Linked DNA regions of Mus musculus: all the other regions are reported to be linked to region 1. The links are microRNA targets in miRTarBase. Many come from high-throughput screens and were not tested one by one. Region 1 holds a microRNA gene; each other region holds the end of a gene's coding sequence.
Evidence for each region. Region 1 holds the annotated microRNA mmu-miR-466b-3p (AUACAUACACGCACACAUAAGA, at 1,393-1,414, opposite strand). A microRNA usually pairs through its seed, bases 2 to 8, with sites in the 3' UTR of a target mRNA and lowers its output. Matches are read on the target gene's strand: a 7mer-m8 pairs with bases 2 to 8, a 7mer-A1 pairs with bases 2 to 7 and ends in A, and an 8mer does both.

Region 1 (3,109 bases):
GTTTACTTGTGTGTGTGTGTGTATGTTATTTATATGCAAATACACACATCCACACACAACTATACACACATGCACATACATGGAGGCATCACATGAATGCCAGGCTGATCTCTAACTCATCATGCCGTTAACATGAATGTGCACTCCTGATCACCCTGAATCTAGCAAGTCTTCTCCTGGTGACTGAGACCTCTCTCTGTCAGCCCCAGTCATACAGAATCTCTAAGACTCTAAGTCACTAATTATTCAAATAGATGGATGAGTGCCAATTTTTGTGTGTTTGTATGCATGTTTGTATGGGTATGTGTGTATGTATATGTATATTCATATACACACATGTACATGCACACATACATATACACACAGGCATATATACTAGGGTCATCACAAGACTCCGAAGCTGATCACGAACTCATCATGAAGTTCAGCATGAATTTTGATTCCTGGTCATCCAAAGTCTGGCAAGCAAGCATTTTCACCTTGTGAGTGAGAGCACTCACTGGCCCAGCCCTGCATAATCTCTAAAGCTCTGAGTCACCTGTCATTCAAAAGGATCAATGAGTGACATTCCTCTGTGTGTGTGCGCGTGTGTGTGTGTGTGTGTGTGCGTGCCTGTGTGTTTATGTTTGTCTGTATGTAGATGTATATTTGTATACACACATGTACATATACACAAAACTATACACACATGCACATATATGGGGGGAGGATGCCATGAGGCCAGGCTGATCCCTAGGTCATTTTGAAGTTATTCAGGAATTTGAACTGCTGATCCAAAAGGCAAGCGTTTTACCTGGTAAGTTAACTGAGACATAGCTCTGGCCATTCCTGTGAGTGAGTGTGTGTGCATGCGTGTATATGCATATTCATATAGAGAAGTGTATGTGCACAAAGCTATACACACATGCACATTCTTTATGGTCATCACATGAATAGCATGCTGATCTCTAACTCATCATGAAGTTAAACATGAATTTGAACTCTTGATCCACCTGACTCTGTGGTGTGAGACCTCTCCCTATTGAGTACTGCAGAATCTCTAAAACTCTAAGTCACATATCATTCAAATGGACTGAGGAGTGGCATGCGTGTGTGTGTCTGTGTCTGTGGATGGGTCTATGTGTGTGTAGGTATGTATATTCATATACACAATCCACACACAGTTACACACATATACACATACATGGGGACATCACATGATTCCCAGGCAGATCTCTAAGTCATCATGAAATAAAGCATGAATTTGAACTCCTGACCTCCTGATTCTAACAAGCATTTTTAACATGATGGGTGATAACTCTCCCTGACCTAGTCACACATAATCTCCAAAGCTCACAGTCACATAGATCAATGAGTGAGTGCCATTCCTGTGTGCCTGTGTGCTCATATGTGTCTTATGTGTGCGTGTATGTATATGGATATCATATTCACATATGTACATGTACACACACATAAACACATATACACATACATAGGGGCAATCACATGAATGCCAGGATGACCTCTAACTCATCATGCCTTTACCATGAACTTGCACTCCTGATCTTCCCGACTCTACCAAGGGTTTTCCCGTGGTTTGTGAGACCTCACCCTGGCCCAGTCATACATAACCTCCAAAGCAGTAGGTCACATATCATTCAAATGGATCCGTGAGGGCCATTCCCGCATGTCTGTGTGCATGTGTGTGTAGGTGTGTGTATGTATATGCATAAAATATACACGCATATACATGCGCGCACTTATGCACACAGGCACATACATAGGGGCCATCACATTATTCCAGGATGATCTCTAACTGCTCATGAAGTTAAGCATGAAATTGAACTCCTGATCCTCCTGACAATGCCAATTGTTTACACCTTGTGAGTGAGACCATTCACTGTCCTTCTACTGCATAATCAGTAACATTCTAAGACATATATCATTCAAATGGATCGATGAATGCCATACCTTGGTGTGTGTGTGCTTGCTTTTATACGTGTGTGTGTGTGTGTGTGTGTTATGTATAATCATATACACACATGTACATGCACACAAAATTATGTGTGCATGTACATACCTAGGGTCCATCACACGAATCCAGGATGATCACTAACTGATCATTAAGTTAAGCATGATTCTGAACTCCAAGACTTCTGATTCTGGCAAGCGGTTTTCATCTAGTTGGCGAGATATTTCACTGTACCATAAATATACACTCTATGAAATTCTAAGCACATATAAAACTTATGGATGACTGCCATGTGTTTCTGTATGCATGCATGTGTGAATATGTGTCAATATATGTCTTTTCATATATCCGCATGTACAGACAAACTTATCTATACACATACACAGAAACAATCACATGAATAACAGGCTGATCTGTAACTCATCAGGAAGTTAAACATGAATTTGAACTCTGGGACCTCCTGACGCTGGCAAGAGCATCCACCTCCTAACTGAGACATAGCTCTGGCCCAGCACTGCATAAGCTCTAAAGCTCTGAGTCACATACCATTCCAAAGGATATATGAGTGCCATTCCTGTGTCTGCATGTGTGTATATGCATATTCACATAGAGAAGTGAATATGCACACAACTACACACACATGCACATTTTGGTGTGCATCAATGAAACACATGCTGATCTCTAATGCATCATGAAGTTAAACATAAACTTGAACACCATATTCTCCTGACTCTAGCAAGATTATTCACCTCCTACCTAAGAAATAACTCTGGCCATTCCTATGAATGTGTGTGCATGTGTGCATATGCATATTCATATAGAGAAATGAATATGCACACAACTATACACACATGCACATTCTTGGTGGGCATCACATGAATCCCGTGCTGATTTCCAACTCATCATGAAATTCAGCACAAATTTGAACTCCTGATCCACCTGACTCTGGCAAGGGATTTCACCTGCTGAGTGAGACCTCTCCCTATTCAGTACTGAGGAATCTTAAAACTCTAAGTCACATATCATTCAAATGGACTGAGGAGTGGCATTCATATGTGTGTCTGTGTATGGGTCTACGTGTGTGTAGGTATGTATATTCATGTACACAAATCCACACACAGTTACACACATATACACATACATGGGGGCATCACATGA
Region 2 (3,109 bases), not on the chromosome of region 1:
GACAACACAGACCTTGGCTACGAAGTACTTCCAATTAATACGCAGTATGAGGGAATGAGAGACTGTATAAATACCATAAAGCAGGAGGAAGGAGTGTTTGGTTTCTATAAAGGGTTTGGTGCTGTTATAATACAGTATACACTGCATGCAACCATCTTACAGATTACCAAAATGATTTACTCCACACTTCTTCAGAATAGCATTTGAGATTTAGGTTCTATGATTGGCTGAACCAAAAGATGTTGGATAATTTGCTATGACATTTCAAGTAATAAAAGTAAAAATACTGCGCGGAAAGAAATAGGCTGGGAATTACCACTGGTGGAAAACCTCATGCTAATTATTCTGACTTTTTATTTTTCTTAAGGCATAGATATATAGATATATAGATATATAATACTGGGTCAAACCTTTCCAAAATTGAAAACTCAATAAAGGTAATACTTTAAATTTAAAATGTAAAGTTACATTTTAGTATAACACTCATGCTGAAGTAAAATTGATCCTGGGGAGAAACAAAAAATGTATCAAGTATAAAATGAAATTGCAATGACTTGAATCTGTTTTACTGACCTTACTATTTGTTATGTTTGTTTAACTTGGATTCAGGTCACTGTGTTAATTATTAAAGCAGTGGATAGTGCTGGGATTTTACCTTTAAGCAAATAGAGTATGTCACCGTTGAAAAGAACTGGTGATTAGCTTTGGCACTGTGTAAGCAGTGGCTGAAGGGTTTAAATTGTATTTAACCATTTTAATTGCTGTATATATTTATTATATGGAGCCATTTGTGTCTGTGTGTACATGTAACTTGGAATTTCCTTCTTCCCTGCCAGTTTTCATAGACCAGCTTATTGCATCAAATGAAGGTAGACACTTTCTGCTGGAACATCAAGTATAAGACATCAAAATGCCAGAAAATAGCTTTTTTACCTGCATCCTGTCCAGCATTGCAGTGTCAGAAACTTGAAATTTGTCCTTTGCTTGTGATGTTTGGATCATCAGATGATTTTAGCTACTTTTAAAGAGCCTAACAATCATGGCAGCCATGACCGTTTCCACACTTACGTTAAGGAGCCCCACCTGTCTTTCATTTCTCAAAGAACTTATCTGAGAGGGAACAAAATGAAAGTTCTGGGGATTTGTGCCTCTTGCTCACCATAAATAATCACTGCAATCTTTCTTTTTTCTTTCCTTTTTTTGTATGTGTGCGTGTGTGTGTGTGTGTGTGTGTGTGTGTGTGTGTGTGTATGTAAAGTTTTATTCTCCAAATAAGCTACCCTGAAGATAAAAATGAGACATTCTTGGTACTCTTTATTTAAACTTGCTTGGATAAGTACTGAATTAAAGTACAAACCTCATAGGAAATTTGCCCTTATGTGTTACGAAGGAGGAGGAGGAGACACTATATTTCAACAAATGAAACTTGTTAATCAGCTTAATAAAATGAAGTTGATGTGTTCCCATGGTGGATTAGACTCTGTAATAAAGTGATGTATAGTTCACTGGTCACTCATGCAGCAGTTAGCATTTTATTTCTTCATGGCTATGCTCAAGTTTACAAACACTGAAGTGCAGTGCCTGCAGGTGTTGCCCAACCTAGAATGCATGCAAACTAACACTGATGTTACATGTTAAATGTTGCAGAGGGTGTTTGGACTGTGACTGATCAGAGTGGAAGCTTAATATGGTCGTGGAAAAGCATGAAGTAAGGTGTCAGTAGCAGCTGTCCCTACCAGTCTGTGTCTTTGGAGTAATGCTGTCAACTCTTCAGTTCCTCAAAAGGGAAAATAAATGCTGTTGATCACATTCTGTATTTTATGGTTAATCTCTTAACGTGTTTTTCTCTGTGTAAAAATGGGGTTAACATTTTTTACTGACTTTTAGCTGCTAAATTTTTAGGTGTTTATAGTCACCTTCCTCAGAATTTCATTTTGTAAGTCAAGGTAGTTTCAGAGAAGAAACCAGAAAATTTTGGTTTCAGAAAATGTTTAGAACAGTCTAAATGGAATCAAATATTTACTGGGTAAATTTTGTGGAATTTTCCATGTGCCTGAAGATTAGATATTCAAGGATTATTTATTGACAGATACCATGAATTTAGTAATATAAATTTATTGCATCTGAAGTCAAAATGCTGCTGCTGAACTAAATACATGATTAGTCTCATTTCCTGTTTCCTTGCAGAAATCCACGCAAATTACCTTAAAATAAAGATGGAGAGAGTTTTTTTTTCTAACTGCTTTTTTTTTTAAATTTGTTAAAATGTAACCTTTGAAAGTCAAACACATTTTAGTTGGCCAGTGTTTCTCAGTGAATTGATACCTTTTACACTCAGTATGACAAATAGCCCCGTAGATGTGATTCTGTTAAGTAGAATGCAACAAAGCACTCACTCGCTGATTGTGCAAAAAAACGCTACAGTGCTTTTATTCGAGAATCTCATAATCTGAGAAGCAGAAGACGCTGCCTTGACAGCTGTACTGTTGTTGGTCGAGGTCATGGAGGATGTGTGCTGTCTATGTGGGTGTGGATGCTGTAGAACAGAAAAGACATTTCCAGCTCCTGCAAAAACTACCTATGTGGAGAGCCGTGAACAATCGCCATTACAAGATGGCGCTGGCTTCTGCAGTGCCTAACTAGTAAACAAGCAATGTGCACGGGTGCTGGAGTAAATTCGTGCCAAGTCACTGCCCATCTCGGGGTGTAGCAGTGGGGTGATGAGTGAGCAGCTAATCAGGAGCTGACGCGTCACACGGAGGGGTATTTAAGCAGCTCCATTTTCCGGGTTCAGGGTCTTCCTGAGAAGTAAGCAATAAAAAGCTTTGCCGTAGAAGGACCCGGTTGTCCGAGTGTGTTTTGCTGGCGAGATGTTACAAGGACACACCTAGGTTAAGTGACTTAGAAAACTTATTTAAGGGTTCACATCACACTGAAGTTAGAGTACTACTTACTGCTGGCATTTCTGCGTTCTCTTCAAGTATTTGGCATAATACATATCACTTCCCTGCCCCTGAATAGGTACCATCTTATTTTTATTAATAGAGTACTAGTTTGTATAGCAGAGTAACAATAATCTGTGGTTTGACTCTTGTGTCTTGTTATTTTA
Region 3 (3,000 bases), not on the chromosome of region 1:
AGCTCTGGGGAGGCAGAGAGAGTTGTGCTTAGTAGGGACGCTAGCCTAGCGTGTTTGGAATGTCCTGAGATACTCTGTCTGAAATCACACACAGAAAAGATGACGATGTCTGAACTTAGGCTGGGCCTACAGGAGCGCATGCTCACCACTCCTGAGCCTCCCGCCTCCACCACTTAATTGCGGGAATGAGAGCCTTGTGCCACCACACCTGGCTTATCAGCATGTCTGCTGGTTTGCTTTTCCAGGTCATTGCATGATACCAACCAAGTGAGCAGGAACGAAATCCATACAAAGGAGATGGTGGAGGAGAGTATGCAGCTGCCCTCCATAGAGGCCAAGGAAGACGATGAGCCAATTGGGATAGACTTTCCCTTAAAGAGCGAAACAGTAACCATCTGTGTAGTGGCTGCCGACAAATCTCTCCTGGAGGATGCAGAGGCCAAAAACGAATAAGAGTTTGGTGAAATTCTTATCAAACCTTACTTGAACCGTGATGAAAATGTGGGCGGGCCGGCGTGGGCTGAGAAGGGAGGGGACAGACAGAGGAGAGAAGAAGACAGAACAAAGCTGCTTTTAGGACTGAACAATCTATTTTCAAAGCACTGGTACCTGTGTGAGTGAGTATGTAAATTAAAGTTATTTAAATGGTTGGAATATGTGGCTCCTTTCCTGTCACGACATCCTTCCTTCCGGATCTTCACCACGGAGATTTTCATCTGCTGCGGTTTGGGAAGTACCTCCCGTGGGCACGGTGGTCTCCGTGACCCTCTCGGACAGTGTGTGGAAACCGAGGCTCCCGGACACAGAAGACTTCTCCTAGGGGAACAACTTTTGGGCGCACAACTTTCTGTGCGTTTTTCTAGTTTTAATACCTTAAGCTTTTTCAAGACCTAACTGCAGCCGCTTTGGGAGAAAAAAAAATAACAAAACAGAAAACAAACAAAAAAAAACTGCTTTGCATAAAACAGTCACCTGTTTCCTAGTACCTCAGACTTAACCAAGGGAATTCTCTGCATTTGTCTGTACTACCTGTGGCCCTTGTGGTTAAATGTAGAGAGAACTGCTGGACAGGATGGTGAATGGAGAAAAAAAAAGAGTTTTAAAGAAAGGAACACAAATTGTGCTTAAAATCCCCACGTGGGTTTTATTTCTTAAAATACTGTGATTTTTTTAATTATTTTAGTAAAAAACAAAACAAAAAAAAAAGAAACAGACTTTAATTACTAGATAACTGTGTGTGAATTGTCATCTTGTATTCCAGGTAAGCTGTTTATTAGTGTTCAGCTATAATTTAGAATTTGGTAGGTTCATGTGAACTAATTTTATGGTGATCGTGGGATTTCGTTGGCCACATGTTTATTTTTTTCTCGATTTGAGTGTTACAAACACAGCACAAATTCAGTTGTTCTTTCTTCATATGAGTTGTTCTCTGTGTGTTTGTTTAATTTGAGGTCAAGGGAGAGTTAGAGGGTGTAGGGTGTGTGTGTGTATGTATGTGTGTGTGTGTGAATTTTTATAATTTTAAACATGAACATAACAAAGAGGTTAACTTCCTTTTAAATTTGTTTTTGTGTTTGTTTGCTTTTTAATTTAACTAAAGAACCAAACTCCGAGCACAGCTATGCAGTGGGGGGGGCCAGACAAGGAGGTCCCGTCACCCTTTTGGGTTTGTTTGTTTTTTTTTTTTCTCAAAGCAACACATTTCGTCTCCCCAACGATTTCTGTTACATTGGGCTGGCCTTCGTGTGTGCTGTGAACTCTGTTTTGTTTGCTTTGTGTATTGTGAGGCTGTCTCATTTCTTTGGGGAGCCATCCCTTCCGTGAGCTTGGACAGGAGATGCCGCATCCTGCAGGGAGCCTGGAAAAGTGCTTTGTCTGCGCATCTAGCTGCTCTGTTTCCCCACAGTGGCTTCGTTTATTTTATTTTATTTTTTTCCAAGAGCAGCTTAGACTGAAAGCAAGTCTACATTTATAGCACATTATGATTGTGAAAATGGGGTTTTGTTCCAAAAAGTGGAAAGGAACATTCTTGAAGCTTAGGGGCGTGTGTGTGTGGGTGGGTGGGTGTGTGCGCGTGCGCACATACGTGTGCTGGTGTTTGGATGTATGTGTGTGGGCAAATATGAGTCCTAGGTTTTGTTTCTTTTGTTGTCCTTGTTTGGGTTTTTGTTTGTTTGTTTTTTTTAACTTGGAAGGGTTGATGGGGTGGGGGGCGGGCCAGAAGGGAAAGAGGGTAAACTGAGGTGTCAGTGTCCCACACAGCTTCAGAGAAAATCCATGGAAAGATATCGCATTTGTGAAGTAAGTACGTACTTGAAAAGCATGATCTTGGTTTTGCTTTGTTTTTATTTTTTATTTTTGTTTTTATTTTTGATTTTTAGTTTTTGCTATTAAGAATTTTTATTTGTAGGATGTTTAATTTAATTTTGTTTTTAGGGATGGGGCCGTCATGTGGAAACCAGAACAGGGGGAAGTGTGAAATATCTAGACAGATTCTTCTGTGTCCTTACTCGCTTTTGATTGGCCTCATTTCAAATGTACTAAACAGTTTCATACCTGGACTGGATGTCTGTGATGGTTACCAAAAACAAACAAAACAACGAAAGGAAAAGAGAAAATAATTGTGACATGCTTCTATCACTACTTTATTTTTCAAATAACATGTAAATATTGTAATCCATTGGATTTTGTTTTGCTAACCTGATAATAAAAATATGGGACCATTATCCTTTTAACAAGGCTAGGATGTCATTTTTTTGTTTTATTTTTCAAACATATACCTGATATTTTGTGGCCGCACATTTTGGACGCATTCTGTTTTCTGTTGACTGTAATGACATAGAATTTACAAAATTTTTTGTTGTTGTTGTTTAATTTATACAGAGGACATTTTTTTTTCCAGAGCTTGAGAGAAGAAAATAAATAGCAAAATGATAACCTATTGACTCCAATAATCAGTGTTTCCTGAAACTTGATGAAAGATAGGGGGATCCTGACTCC
Region 4 (3,096 bases), not on the chromosome of region 1:
CTTCTCTGTGTTTTGTTTTTTTGTAGTTTGGGAAAGTAGAAATATATTTCTACTTTCAGAAAGCATCTCCCACCTGCACACTAGTGGACACTTCCTCATAGCTCCCAGACTCCCTCTTTTTCACTCCCCACTACCAATGTCATATCTAGGGACAGTAATCCAGAATGGCCACTTCTTGCATCAGTGGCCCTCACATAGGGATTGAGAAAAGTTTGATGCTTTCAGGCCTGGCAAAGAAACTTTCCTCTCTCATGCAAACCCAGATATGGCCTTAATTTAAAATTGTCTTTATTCTGCCTTCCTCTCAGGGTTACCTTCTGGTTTCTAGTGACCTGGCATATGACACATCCTCAAAGCCACAGCCAAATCTGAACAGCTGGGGGGATCTGAACCTAGTACATAGACCATGGAGAGAACAGCCAACCCATTGATGGCCCGCTCACAATACACCCCAGGAAGTAAACAGCCTTCAGTCCCCCAGAAACCAGAAACCTGGAAGATGAAGACCGTGCATCCTGGATATTAAAGCCCTTGTGGAAAAGGTCTCCTTCTGGAGCCCTGAGAGACCTAGAGTAAGGTCGACAGTTAAAATGATGAACAGGAACAAGGTAGTGGGAGTGGGGTCTGTGTATGTGAGCATGTGTAAGCACATTGTGTGCCTGTGTTTAGCCTTTGTGGGAAAGAGTAAGGCATGTGGATCCGACCAGGTGGTAAGGTTGTAAGGAACTTGTCTGTATTTGCATTGGTAGGTGTGTGTGTGTGTGTGTATGTGTGTCTGTGTGTGCCTCTGTGTGTGGTGTGTATCTGTGTGTGTGTGTGTCTGTGTCTGTGTGTGTGTCTGTGTGTCTGTGTGTGTCTCTGTGTCTGTGTTTGTGTCTGTGTCTGTGTGTGTGCCTCTGTGTCTGTGTGCCTCTGTGTGTGTATGTATGTGTGTGTGTGTGTGTGTGCCTCTGTGTGTGTGTCTGTGTGTATCTGTGTGTGTGTGTGTGTGTAAGACTATGTCTGCTCTTTAGAGACTTTCTACTTTTATTGGACTTTATGTTTTATGTTTACTATTACTGTCCTGTGCTTAATTAAAATTGTTTTCTAACGATGTCAGAATCTATGTGTGAAAGCTCCTGTCCTGAATTTATTTTAATAAAATATGACAGAAAAATGGAAAAGACTTAATTTTTTTAAAACTTCGGCAAAGACTGAAGTTCTACAAACACCAATACTAAAAGGGAGCCGAGAGCCCCTTAAATCTTTCCTATGGTTGTCCTGTGTCATTTGTTTATGTTTGTGGATGTGTCCTTTCAGTGATTGGATGAAATGAGGGCTGGAGAGATGGCTCAGCAGTTTAGAACATTGACTGCTCTTCCAGAGGTCCTGAGTTCAATAACCAGCCACCACACGGTAGCTCACAACCATCTGTAATGGGATCTGAGGCCCTCTTCTGGTGTGTCTGAGGACAGCTACAGTGTACTCACATAAATAAAATAAATAAATCTTTTTTTAAAAAGATTGACTGAAATGGTAGTGCAGCTTATTAAACCTAGGCAGTTCACAGTTGACATTAGTGTCATTAATCAGCAGGGTGAGACTGGACAGGGGAGCAGGAGAGTGGGACAGCCAGGGTGGATATGTAAAAATGAACAGAAACCACACCCTTTGCTTAACTCCTTAGGTTACTGGGGGATAGAAGAGGGCTGTATAAGTACTTAACATCCTGGTCTAGTTACTCCTCCAGTTTCATGTCTGTGACCTTCAGAGCCACTATGAATAATTATGATCCCATTTCATAGAAGTGAAAACAGAGGAATGTATCACACAAAGGTGGTAATGGCATAGGCGGAACCTGAACCCAAGTCTTCCTGATTGCTATGGTGGTGTTTTTCACAGGGTAGGACTATCCTGCAAATCACTGCCAGCTTTCTTATCCCAAGAGCAAGAGTCAATTAAGTTTAAAGGTACAGACACAGGACACAGTCCAAACAAAGCTATGGAACACAGTGATCCCTGAAAGAGGGATTTATCCATCTTTGTAGGGAATTGCTGGCCAGAGCAGATTTCCTTCACAAGCATTTGTAGAAATAAATGATACAGTGTTGTGATATGCTTCTTTTGGATGCTCATTTTGTAATGGAGTGTTTGTTGTACATCTTCAATCTCATTCTGATACATTGCAAACGTCATTAGTATTTTATCTTGCTCAGCTGTTTCACTAATGTTCATGGGGCATGAACTCCAAACTGTATGTTCTATATAGCAGTTGACCTGATCCAGGGTGAAGAGGTTTCAGGAGCAGCTCAAAAACATTCTTAAAGCAGTATGTCTTCAATAGCAGCAGTCAGGAGACATTGGCAAGGGTATCTGTGAGAGTTCGAAGCCAACCCGGATACATAGGCTCACCAAGGCTAAGTATCGAGATCTTACTTTAAAAAAGGGGGGGGGGTGAAGGGAGGGAGGGAGAGAGAAAGGGGGAGGGGGGAAGAAAGGAAAAAGAGAGAGAAAGAAAGAAAGAAAGAAAGAAAGAAAGAAAGAGGGGAAGAAAGAAAGATAGAGGGAAAGAAAGAAAGAGGGGAAGAAAGAAAGAGGGGGAGAAAGAAAGAAAGAAAGAAAGAAAGAGGGAAAGAAAGAAAGAGGAAAAGAAAGAAAAGGAAAGAAAGAAAGAAAAAAGGAAGGAAGGAAGGAAGAAAGACAGACAGACAGACAGACAGAAAGAAAGAAAGAAAGAAAGAAAGAAAGAGGGAAAGAAAGAAAGAGGGGAAGAAAGAAAGAAAGAAAGAAAGAAAGAAAGAGGAAAAGAAAGGAAGAAGGAAAGAAAGGAAGGAAAGGAAGGAAGGAAGAAAGAAGAAAGAAAGAAAGAAAGAAAGAAAGAAAGGAAGAAAGGAAGGAAGAGAGAGAGAGAGAAAGAAAGAAAGAGGGAGAGAAAGAAAGAGGGGGGGGAAGTGCAAGTGAAGACTAGCGCTGTAATTCATTGTAACGAGATGATCAGGACTCGCGCGAAGAGTTTTGAGCCTCGGCGCTTGCCATCTTCCCTCCTGGAGCGGAGCTGGTCGCGCCTGCGCCCTGAGAGGCGGCGCTGCGTGGAGCGGGTGGACTGCGGGGTGGTTT

Region 2: miRTarBase lists Slc25a46 as a target of mmu-miR-466b-3p. Seed matches in the 3' UTR shown: 8mer at 1,249-1,256.
Region 3: the mRNA of Zfp462 is a reported target of mmu-miR-466b-3p. Seed matches in the 3' UTR shown: 8mer at 622-629 and 7mer-m8 at 1,488-1,494.
Region 4: the mRNA of Bpifc is a reported target of mmu-miR-466b-3p. Seed matches in the 3' UTR shown: 7mer-m8 at 921-927.

Annotation. Positions count from the first base shown.
Region 1 is chr2:10,506,273-10,509,381 of GRCm38, reverse strand. It overlaps Mir466 (microRNA 466), which reads right to left and starts at 1,464; the gene lies at 1,392-1,464. The region is part of intron 10 of Sfmbt2 (Scm-like with four mbt domains 2); the gene reads right to left. It overlaps Mir467d (microRNA 467d), which reads right to left and starts at 1,752; the gene lies at 1,668-1,752. It overlaps Mir297c (microRNA 297c), which reads right to left and starts at 366; the gene lies at 269-366. It also overlaps Mir669c.
Region 2 is chr18:31,580,289-31,583,397 of GRCm38, reverse strand. It overlaps Slc25a46 (solute carrier family 25, member 46), which reads left to right. Exons shown (of 8, transcript NM_026165.4): 8 at 1-3,109. The coding sequence ends at 207. Among named protein-coding and RNA genes, the nearest start is that of Gm38606, 11 kb to the right of the region's middle.
Region 3 is chr4:55,080,421-55,083,420 of GRCm38, forward strand. Zfp462 (zinc finger protein 462) reads left to right here. Exons shown (of 13, transcript NM_172867.3): 13 at 246-3,000. The coding sequence ends at 453. Among named protein-coding and RNA genes, the nearest start is that of Gm42289, 13 kb to the left of the region's middle.
Region 4 is chr10:85,957,754-85,960,849 of GRCm38, reverse strand. Bpifc (BPI fold containing family C) reads left to right here. Exons shown (of 16, transcript NM_177772.4): 16 at 309-1,159. The coding sequence ends at 431. It overlaps Rtcb (RNA 2',3'-cyclic phosphate and 5'-OH ligase), which reads left to right and starts at 3,057. Exons shown (of 12, transcript NM_145422.4): 1 at 3,057-3,096.